Anolis sagrei: one gene and its partners. The protein of the gene in region 3 interacts with the protein of the main gene of each other region in a biochemical or structural test. Links are inferred from orthologs where the notes say so. Each region holds a gene or a part of one and is shown on either strand. Other genes may lie near its edges. The genes, in order: AURKA, TRIM63 and UBE2N.

Region 1 (3,749 bases), on a different chromosome or scaffold from region 3:
TTCTTTCAGTGGTTGTTTGTGTTGAGATGCAATTGACTGGCTTCTAGCCTGAAATGGTACGATATAACTGCTCTTTGTGGAAAATCCTAACCGGCTTTTGTATATTTTCATCAGTTGTTGTTAATGGAAGAGTCCCTCAGGTGTTTCTTACCCCATAAGAACAGCCTACAAAACCCACAGGCAGGGAAATGGGCTTCTTCTGAAGTTCACAGTGCTTCTTTCACTGGTTGTGTTGTGATGCAATTGACTGGCTTCTAGCCTGAAATGGTACGATATAACTGCTCTTTGTGGAAAATCCTAACCGGCTTTTGTATCAGTTGTTGTTAATGGAAGAGTCTCTCAAGTGCTTCTTACCCCATAATTGCCAAAACAACCACACGAGACATGACTCTCACAAAATGTGAGTGAAATCCTCTTCTTGACAGGTCTTGTACTCAATGGGTAAGAAAAGAAGGGTTGACTCTTAAGATATGCAGTTGTGAGCGAGAATACGGCATTTTTTGAATTAAAAAAACCATACAAGAGCACTATATCGTCTTCCCATAAATGCTGAAACTTCCTGATTGTCAGTAGTCGCTTTGGAAAAAGTGTTAAGTCACAAATCCTGGCAAGTGTGACCCTTTTTGTGACTTTCTGATCAATCTAAATGTGTCAAGTCTTTCAAAGTCCTGATTAGGCCTCTTCCTTCCACAAGTGGCTTCAAAGCTGAAGAGTACAAAACAGTTGCTTGTGGCCTTCCATTATCCTTCTATAACACAGCACAACATCCATTCCATATAAGTTTGGGCTACAAACTTAGTATTTAAACATTTGAGGCAGGCGATGGGTTTGGATTGATGATACCACCAAGATCTCATTTCAAACGGAGAAGAGCAACTCTCTCCTTCCCAACACTGAGCGAAGGGGGCGTGGCGAGGCGAAGCGAAGCGCAACTGGCGGAAGAGTAAACGGTAACCAGTGGGGGCAGCGTTGCGCAAACGGCGTAAGGAGCGCACGCGCCAGAAAAAACTCAAGCGTTAAGCTTAACAACCAGGAAGTGAAGCGTTGGGGAAGGTTCCACAGACCACGCCCCCTTCCAATTCAAATCCCCCTTTATCTTTTTTTTTTTTTTGCTTGTCGTGTTGGACGCATGCGTAGTAGAGCTGACCCTTGGAAGAAAAGAAGCTGGCCCCGTTTCTTTTCAGCTGAGACAGTTGGAACCGGAGGAAGGGGGCGGGCCCTGACGCGGAGGCAGCCAATCAGCGAGCGGACGCCGGAGCAGGAAAGGGAGATGATTGACCAATCGTAGCGCGGGAATGGTTTAAAGGGCGTTGAAGGAGGCGGGCGGAGGTTTGAATTCAAACGCTCGTCGGAAGTGCAGAGTGGTGTGGAGTGGAGGTGAGTGGGCCTTCTCGGGAGTCTTCCACAGCGTTTTAACCTGGAAGCTTCTACTCAGGGGCTCTCTTGCGTGGTATCTATCTTCTCTAAGCTTTTTTGGGAACATTTTTTTTTGTGGGGAGAGGGTTTGAAGCATAAAGAACAAGCCTTTAGGAGCAACCACCGCAGGAAGTTGGTGAGCATACAGTGAGCGGGGAGGGTGGGAGTTCTAGTCTAAATTTGCCTTTCCCATGCCCTGGATAGAGACTGGAGAAGCAACACACTGCATGGATAATGCAGTTTGAGACTGTTTCAACTATGCTGGAGAGTCCTGGGAGTTGTAGTTTGAAAAGGTCATTATCTTCTGCCAAAGAGAAGAATAAAGCCTACAAATCCCAGGATTCTACATTATAGAGCAGGCATGTACAAACTTTGGCCCTTCAGGTGTTTGGGATTGCAACTCCCACAATTCCTAACAGCCAGTATGTGTCAATGGTTCATCATCATAGGCCAATGTGAATAATAATAATAATAACTAGCCGTCCCCTGCCACGCGTTGCTGTGGCCCACATGGGGGTTCTGTGTGGGAGGTTTCGCCCAATTCTATCGTTGGTGGGGTTCAGAATGCTCTGATTGTAGGCGAACTATAAATCCCAGCAAGTACAACTCCCAAATGTCAAGATTCTATTTTCCCCAAACTCCACCAGCGTTCACATTTGGACATACTGAGTATTTGTGTAGAGTTTGGTCCAGATCCATCATTGTTTGAGTCCACAGTGATCTCTGGATGTAGGTGAACTACAACTCCAAAACCAAAGGACACAGCCCACCAAACCCTTCCAGTATTTTCTGTTGGTCATGGGAGAGCTGCGTGCCAAGTTTGCTTCAATTCCATTGTTGGTGGGGTTCAGAATGCTCTTTGGTTGTAGGTGAACTATAACTCCCAGCAAGTACAACTCCCAAATGTCAAGATTCTATTTTCCCCAAAATCCACCAGCGTTCACATTTGGACATACTGAGTATTTGTGTAAAGTTTGGTCCAGATCCATCATTGTTTGAGTCCACAGTGATCTCTGGATGTAGGTGAACTACAACTCCAAAACCAAAGGACACAGCCCACCAAACCCTTCTAGTATTTTCTGTTGGTCATGGAAGAACTGTGTACTAAGTTTGGTTCAATTCCATCATTGATGGAGTTCAGAATGCTCTTTGATTGTAGGTGAACTATAAATCCCAGCAACTGCAACTCCCAAATGACAAAATCATAAATTTTTGAGTGATGGTCACTCCTTGTGTTGTGAGACGTTTTGTTGCCAAATTTGGTGTTATATCATTCATTGGTTCTTTTGTTTTTAAGGTACTCATTATGCACAGAGCATTTATATATAGATATACTCGTACTCCATATTCTGCTCTATCTTCCTGAGGGGACTCCTATTGCAAACATTCAATGCCATTGTAAAATTGGCAGAGACAGACAATACATAAACAGAGGCAAGGCATCTCTCTTTTCCTCTCTGTGCTTGACTCGGTCATGGAGAGGTGCTGTTGTTTCATTTTCCATAGATGCCTTTCTTGGTCAGTTTTTTGCTGGCATGTTTTTTCAGGTCGCCTTTTACCTCTCCGCCAAAGCAGCACCTATTTATCTACTTACATTGTTTTCAAACTGCTAGGTGATCAGAAGCTGGACTGATGGCCGGGAGCTCACCCCATGCCGGGTTTGAATCTTCTGGTCAGCAGAATCTTCTATAGCAGGCAGTTTAAGGCATATATGACGAAGGCAGTCCTTTTTAGGTTTTTGAGAATCTGGCACCATTGTATTGTTCCCCACACCTGAACCTGCAAATTCTTCAGGTGCGTGGTACAGGCAGCCACCAAGTTACAAACAACATTCTTAAGTTGAATTTGTATGTAAATTGGAACAGGTACATTTAAAAGTGTAATTCTAGATAGATAGATGTTTCAGATAGCATAAGGAAGGGTTAATACCCCTGTGATGTTTGGTATGCTGTTTGTGCTCCTGTTCAGAAGATTTCACCTCACTTCCTGTCCCTGTGGATTTTGAAAAAAAAAAAAGCTTGTTCTGGAAGCAAGGCTTGGTGAGAAAACTTCAGTGGAGAAATCTTTCCCCCACAATCACTCTTCCAGGATGAATTTCTCTTCTGAGGGATACATTACTCACTTAGAATTATAGAATCAAAGAGTTGGAAGAGACCTCATGGGCCATCCAGTCCAACCCCCTGCCAAGACGCAGGAATATTGCATTCAAACCACCCCTGACAGATGGCCATTCAGCCTCTGTTTAAAAGCTTCTAAAGAAGGAGCCTCCACCACACTCCAGGGCAGAGAGTTCCATTGCTGAACGGCTCTCACAGTCAGGAAGTTCTTCCCCA
Region 2 (3,749 bases), on a different chromosome or scaffold from region 3:
ACTACTCCCACGGCACCAACTGCCAGCCAAACTATGAGAACTTGGGAAAACTTTGATCTCTGTTCCAGAAGCCGAATCCAATATCTTCTTTGCCCCTGAGCTGTCCTCCTGACTCCCCTTATTTTGTTGTCTCGGAAGTCAAGCAACAGCAATCAACACTGTTGGAAACAACTGCGTCACAACTAGAAGAGGCCCCAAAGAGACCGTCCTCTTATCAGCTGGTTCTTCCTCTTGAGATAGGAAACAGATTCCTTTTGGGATTGTTTCCAGTACCTTCACCAAGAGGTACAATCCGGAGAGGATTTGTCTTTGTTTGATGTTTCAAAGGCTGGGACAGGGACTCCTTAGAAAATGTTTGGCACCATGATAACAAAAAAATACTTATAAATGTTTCCCAACCCCCCTCATTTGTTGTAATTCATATTCATCAGAATTAGTGGCACACATTGGCACCATTCTTAGGTTCTTGTTGCAGTTTGCCCATTTCTACCAACAAAGTTTTTACAAACAGTTGGTGTATTGTTCTATTGGATGCTTATAGAGGTTATGTGTCCTCCCTTAAAGAGGATTATCCTGTAGTTCAGTGTTTCTCAATCTTCCTATTGCTGCGGCCTCTGAATATAGTTCCTCATGTTGCGGTGACCCCCAACCACACAATTATTTTTGTTGCTACTTCATACTTGTAATTTTGCTACTGTTATGAATCGTAATGTAAATATGTGAAATGCAGGATGTGTTTTCATTCACTGGACCAAATACCTGATACACCCAAATTTGAATACTGGTGGGGTTGTGGGGATTGATTTTGTCATTTGGGAGTTGTAAAAAGGTAAAGGTAGTCCCCTGACATTAAGTCCAGTCATGTCTGACTCTGGGGTGTGGCGCTCATCTCCATTTCTAAGCCGAAGAGCCAGCGTTGTCCGTAGACACCTCCAAGGTCATGTGGCCGGCATGACTGCATGGAGCGCCGTTACCTTCCCGCCGGAGCGGTACCTATTGATCTACTCACATTTGCATGTTTTCGAAGTGCTAGGTTGGCAAAAGCTAGGGCTGACAGCGGAAGCTCACGCCACTCCCCGGAATTGAACCTGCGACCTTTCGATCAACAAGCTCAGCAGCTCAGTGCTTTAACCCACTGCGCCACCAGGGGCTCCACCAGGAGTTGTAGTTGACGGGATTTATAGTTAACCTACAATCAAAAAGCATTCTGAACTCCACCAATGATGGAATTGAACCAATCTTGGCACACAGAACTCCCATGACCAACATAAAATACTGGAAGGGTTTGGTGGGCATTGACCTTGAGTTTGGAAGTTATAGTTCACCTGCACCTCCATCTAAGAGAACACTGTGGACTCAAAAAATGACGTATCTGGACCAAACTTGGCACGGATACTCAATATGCCCAAATATGAACACTGGTGGAGTTTTGGGACACTAGAGCTTGACATTTGGGAGTTGTACTTCCTGGGATTTATAGTTCACCTCCAATAAAAGAGCATTCTGAACCCCACCAACGATAGAATTGGGCCAAACTTGCCATACAGAATGCCCATGACCAACAGAAAATACTGTGTTTTCTGATGGTCTTTGGCAACCCCTCTGACACTCGCACCCAACCCCACAGGAGTCCTGACACCCAGGTTGAGAAACACTGGCCTAGACATTTCATTACAGGTCCTTCTACGAAAATGCAAATTTGACTCTTTGTGAAAATACTACTCCATTTTCAGAAAAAAATAGTTTTTGAATTGCAACTCGCAAGCTCTCCTGACCGGTGTGCCTGTGATAGTTCATTATGTTGTCTAGGTCTTGAAGATTCTGGGAATTTCAGTTAAAAAAAACTTATCCAAGCTTTGCTTTCAAAGTTATCATCAGCTGCTTCCTTGTCTCACTTCATCTCCCTCACCCTGTACCTCTCCCTTGAACATTATTTCCAGCATTGGCAGTATTGAAACTGACATTTACCCACTTCGGGTCAATATTAGGAGGAGATCTACTGACCTGAAAGATGTCATTGGCACATTTCCTGCAGAGGTTGTGCTGGCAAGGAAGGATCACCACGGGTTTGGTGAACATCTCCAGGCAGATGGGGCAGATCAACTGCTTCTCCAGATTCTCCATGGGGTTAGAGTCCCGTATGATGCTTGACTGATAATCCATTGCCCTGTTTGAGGCTTCCGAATTATATCCTAGGTGGAGGAAGTCTCTGCAGAAAATGTCTTACTGTCTTCTTATTGGGCTTCTCGAGCACTTGTCGGCTGCCTCTTAAAGCTCAGCTTGTGGCTTTCTGCACTTTTGTCTGGCTCTTGTCTATTTATAATTTATCTCTGGGAGTCACATGTGCTTCGGCTGGCAGGATCCGTTGGGAAGGGGGTCGTGTTTCCTAAAGGGTGACATGCTGTCACATGGGGAGGGGGAGCAATCGCCCCTCCAGAGAGAGAGAGCCTGCGCTCTGTAAACAAGGTGGAGGGGACAACCTGTCCAAATGGCTGGAGGAAGTCGGTTTCCAGGGATGGACCTTATTTTTCTCCTTCGTTGTTTGTTTGGACAAAGAAACTGGAGCCACGGTTGTGTAAATGGTCACACTTCCTCGAGCGTTAAGTAAGCGACATGAACCTGCTCTGCACCCACCCCAGGATCCACAACCCAAGACCTCCTTGTTTCCATAAAACCAAGGGTTAAACTTATACTGCTCAAGAAATTGTTTGCTATTTCCAGCACCAGCTGCTGTCCTCTCCCAATGGGTGACTTTTAACAACTCTGACAGCAATGTGGCTCTGGACCTTGAGCTAGTTGCCTCTTATTCTCTGATCTGCACAGGCCTCCTTCCTCTAAGGCAGTGCTTCTCAACCTTCATAATGCTGCGGCCCCTTAATACAGTTCCTCATGTTGTGGTGACCCCCAACCATAACATTATTTTCGTTGCTACTTCATACTGTTCTGTTGCTATTGTTATGAATCATAATCATAATGTAAATATCTGATATGCTGGCTGTATTTACATTCAGTGGACCAAATTTTGGCATAAATACCTGATACGCCCAAATTTAAATACTGGTAGGGTTATGGGAGTAGATCAATAGGTACCGCTCCGGTGGGAAGGTAACGGCGCTCCATGCAATCATGCCGGCCACATGACCTTGGAGGTGTCTACGGACAACGCTGGCTCTTCGGCTTAGAAATGGAGATGAGCACCACACCCCAGAGTCAGACATGACTGGACTTAATGTCAGGGGACTACCTACCTACCTAGGGTTATGGGGGATTGATTTTGTCATTTGGGATTTATAGTTGACCTGAAGTCGATAGGAACTTTAGGAGGGTCTTTCCCAGGAGGAGGGACCCTGAGACCCCACCAAAGAGGGATCGCTACTTTGGCGAGCTAGGAGAAGCCAGATTTCAGCAACTTTTATTTCTTTAAAAATTCCAAATAAATCTCACCAAAGTTGAAGAAGCGGCACCGAGGTGTTTTATTAGCGATTCAGCTGAAAAGGATGCAATGTAGCAATCATTCGCCTACAGAGCATGTGGTTACAGAAATCAGAGACATTTTTATAGGGATAACAGGCTTAGCAGTTTCAAAATTCCCGCCCTCCGCCCTCCGCCCGGCTCACAGGGGATTGGCTGATGCAATAACAGCTGGGAGGAGGCTCGGCCACCCGCCGTGCATCAGAGCCAATCACAGAGCTCCTCCGCTGTGCAGGAACCAATAGGAGAGCTCCTACCGCCTCAGCGCTCTGGCGAAT
Region 3 (3,749 bases):
CCTCATGGGAGAATTCTTTCAGGTCACCGCATGGGGAGCTGAGGCTGACAGAGGGAGCTCAACCCAGTCTTCCTGTATTCAAATCAATGACGTGTCAGTCAGCGATCCTGCTGGCACAAGGGTTTAACTCATTGTGCCATGGAGTGCTATGATAATTTGGGATAAATAGTAAAGCTGGGTTCAGATCAGATATATGGCCTGTCTGGAAGGGCCCTCAAAAGGTGTCTAAATCTGGGTTGCTGTGAGTTTTCTGCACTGTATGGGCATGTTCCAGAAACATTCTCTCCTGATGTTTCACCCACATCTAGGGGGCACATTGGGTTAAAACCTTGTGCCAGCAGGATTGCTGAATGACAGGTCAATAGTTCGCATGAGGGGAAAGCGAGCTGAGTTCCCTCTGTCAGTTCCAGCTCCCCATGCAGTGACATGAGAGAAGCCTCCCACAAGGATGATAAAACATCCGGGTGCCCCCTGTGCAATGCCCTTGCAGAATACTTTGGTTTGAAGCTGCAAGGCCATTAAGTGCTAATCAGAGTGATCAACTGAAACATTCACACTTGCCTCAAACAGATAAGAGTTTTCTCCTGCCCTGGACATTCCACAGATCTATAAACCTCACTTGCCTAGTTTCCAACAAACCTCACAATCTCTGAGGATGCCTACTATAGATGTGGGCGAAACATCAGGAGAGACTGCTTCTGGAACATGCCCATACAGCCCGGAAAACTCACAGCAACCAAGTGATTCCAGCCATGAAAGCCTTTGACAACACAGTGTCTACATCCACTTGCCATGAGTATATCTGCACTGTTGAAGGAATGCAGTTTGACATCGCTTTGATTGCCATGGCTCGCTGCTGCGGAATTATGGCATTTCACAGAACCATAAAGTTGCAAGAGACCCCAAGGGCCATCCAGTCCAACCCCCTTCTTCCATGCTGGAACACACTATAAAAGCCACCCAACAGATGGCCAGAGGAGGAGACTTCATCACGCTCTGAGGACCATACTCCACTGCAAAAGAGCTGTCACCAACAGGAAGTTTTTCCAAATGTTTGGGTGGAATGTCTTTTCCTGCAGCTGGAATCCATTGCTCCTGTTCCTGGTCTTTAGGGCAGTGGAAAACAAGCTTTCCCCTTGAGAGATGTCCTCACTATAAATTTCTAGGTCTCCCAGCATGACAAAAAGGTATGAACCATAGGGTCACCTGGGAGCTGGAAATTCCTAGGGAAGACATTTGAATCAAATCTAGAGAAGTCAAAACCACAAATGTGTACTAGTGATGGGAGTAAAATGGGAGGGGCCTGAGGCTGTTAGGAATGGTGAGAGTTGAAGGCCAAAACAACCAGGGAGAGAGGGTTCAGCTCCCTCTATCCATTCCAGTTCCCCATGTTGGGACATGAGAGAAGCCTCCCACACATGACTGGTAAAACATCCAAAAACTTCCAGGCGTCCCCTGTGTAACGTCCTTGCAGACGGCCAATTCTCTCACACCAGAAGCGACTTGCAGTTACTCAAGTCGCTCCTGACACGTAAAAAAAAAAATTCTGGCAGTGCGGACTCATATAATCCAGTTTACAGCAGAAAACCTAGGATCCGATCTTGGGATATAGGGCCTGTCTGGAAGGAGCCTAAGAGGCGCTCCTGGGTCATGACTGAAACCCGGCCACGCCTCTCCTCCCAAATTGAGGGTCTGGTTTTGAAGCAGAGGCTGGATGGCCATCTGTCGGGAGTGCTTGGCGCGTGTGTTCCCGGGGGTCACTTCCAACTCGGCGATTCTGTGGGCGAAGCGGGCAAGGAGTGGCCCTCCTCACCCTGGCGGAGCAATGCCTGGGCGCTGAGGGCATCATCTGGTGCGCCTTTTGCGGCATTTCCCCGCCATTCCAGCCCGTCCTTGAGTCACAAACAGAGCCGCCTCCCTTCACCGCAGAGGGGCAGCGAGAGAAGGCTGGCGGGAGGGAGAGAGAGAGGCGGCAGGCCTGGCCATTCATTCCCTCGCAGCTCCCTCCTTCCGTCCGCGCGGTCACTCCCACCTGCCCGACTGCCCGCCCGCCTCAAATGGCGGCGCGTTCCCACTCTCCCTGTTGCGGCCCTCAGGCCTCGCAGAGGCGCAAGAGGCAAGGCCAGCTGAGGGCACCGGAAGCGCCGCCTTCCCCGCTGAGTCCCGGCTCAGGGCTCCTCTCCGCCCAAGGCCCAAGGCCCGGCCGAGAGGCCCAAGAGGCCTGTCTCCCTGCGCGGAAGGCCTCAGGCGAGAACGGTGAGGCCGAGGGCGCGAAGCCGACCTACCTTGATGATCCTGCGGGGCAGCCCGGCCATCTTGTCTTATCGGGGATTCAGGCTCCGCTGGGTCTCGGCTCCGCTCGGGGCTCACGCGCTGCCGGAAGGAGTCCGTTCTTCACTTCCGGCGACGTCACCCGCTGGGCCGCTGCCCCGACGCACGCCGGGAAAGGGAGTCCTCGGCGGGGCGCGAGGGCGCCTGGAAGGAAGGCGGAAGGAAGGCCGCGCGGGCTCAAGGCAAGGCAGTTCCTTGCCCTGCCTCATTGCAGTGGGATCCTGGGAGTTGTAGTTTGGTGAGGCGCCGGCATTCTTTGGCAGGAGGAGCAGGCTGGAGCAGACATGGGCAAACTTAGGCCCTCCAGTTGTTTTGGCCTTCAGTTCCCGATAATAGTATGATATATTGTCGCAGGCTTTCATGGCCGGAATCACTGGGCTGTTGTAGTTTTTTTCGGGCTATATGGCCATGTTCTAGAGGCATTTTCTCCTGACGTTTCTCCTGCATCTGTGGCAAGCATCCTCAGATGTAGTGCTACCTCTGAGGATGCTTGCCACAGATGCAGGAGAAACGTCAGGAGAAAATGCCTCTAGAACATGGCCATATAGCCCGAAAAAAACTACAGCAATCCAATAGTATGATAGCTGGGTCCGGAAGCTCCGAGCCTAACGCTGTTTCTACTTCGATCCTTCGGGAGCGCTGAATGCGCAACGCGATATTACAGAAGGAATATAAGAGTTCTTTAATGGTAAAACCCTAACCGAACTCTAAACCTAACCCCTAATCCTAACCTAACTCTAAACCTTACCCTAATCCTAACACAAACCCTAACCCTAAAGCATATTCTAACCTTACCCTAACCCTAACGCAAACCCTAATTCTAAAGCTTACCCTAAATCTTGCCCTAACCCTAAATCTTACCCTAAACCTAACCCTTAATCCTAACCCTAAAGTTTACCTTAACATTACCCTATGCCCAATCCTTACCCTAACCTAAAACCTAACCCAGGGGCGGCTCAACCCATTACGCAAAGTAAGCATTCTCAGTATAGTTGATTTTGCCCAGGGGCGCTCTTGGGGAAAAATAGACCTTGACATATGCGAGTTGTAGTTACTGGGATGTATAGTTCACCTAAAATCAAAGAGCATTCTGAACTCCACCAATGATGGAATTGAACTAAACATGGCACACAGAACTCCCATGATGAACAGAAAATATATATCAGTGATTGGGGGGGGGGGGGCGCCAAAATACTGTTTGCTTACCGTTGAAAATTACCTAGGGCCGCCTCTGACCTAACCCTAAACCTCATCCCAACCCTCCCCTCATTTCTAGCCTTCTACCCTTACGTGGTCCCTTCTCTTATTCACAACCACTCTTGCAAAATGTGCATAACGCTCAGAGCTTCCGGACCCAGCTATCATACTATCACCCAATTCCCACCATTCCTAACAGCCTCAGGCTCTTTTCTTTTCCC

The links.
Region 1: the proteins of UBE2N (region 3) and AURKA form a complex in vitro, tested with the Homo sapiens proteins (3 studies listed by BioGRID, with this or other methods). The link is inferred for Anolis sagrei from reciprocal best matches to the Homo sapiens genes UBE2N and AURKA.
Region 2: the proteins of UBE2N (region 3) and TRIM63 form a complex in vitro, tested with the Homo sapiens proteins (2 studies listed by BioGRID). The link is inferred for Anolis sagrei from reciprocal best matches to the Homo sapiens genes UBE2N and TRIM63.

Annotation. Positions count from the first base shown.
Region 1 is NC_090024.1:226,267,932-226,271,680, reverse strand, and holds the start of AURKA (aurora kinase A), read left to right. Parts: upstream 1-1,287; 5' UTR 1,288-1,372; exon of another isoform or gene 1,373-1,450; intron 1,451-1,480; exon of another isoform or gene 1,481-1,552; intron 1,553-3,749. UniProt on the Homo sapiens protein: Mitotic serine/threonine kinase that contributes to the regulation of cell cycle progression.
Region 2 is NC_090034.1:74,269,360-74,273,108, reverse strand, and holds the start of TRIM63 (E3 ubiquitin-protein ligase TRIM63), read right to left. Parts: upstream 2,304-3,749; 5' UTR 2,164-2,303; coding exon 2,005-2,163; intron 1-2,004. UniProt on the Homo sapiens protein: E3 ubiquitin ligase. Mediates the ubiquitination and subsequent proteasomal degradation of CKM, GMEB1 and HIBADH.
Region 3 is NC_090025.1:154,604,832-154,608,580, forward strand, and holds the start of UBE2N (ubiquitin-conjugating enzyme E2 N), read right to left. Parts: upstream 2,422-3,749; 5' UTR 2,316-2,421; coding exon 2,286-2,315; intron 1-2,285. UniProt on the Homo sapiens protein: The UBE2V1-UBE2N and UBE2V2-UBE2N heterodimers catalyze the synthesis of non-canonical 'Lys-63'-linked polyubiquitin chains. This type of polyubiquitination does not lead to protein degradation by the proteasome.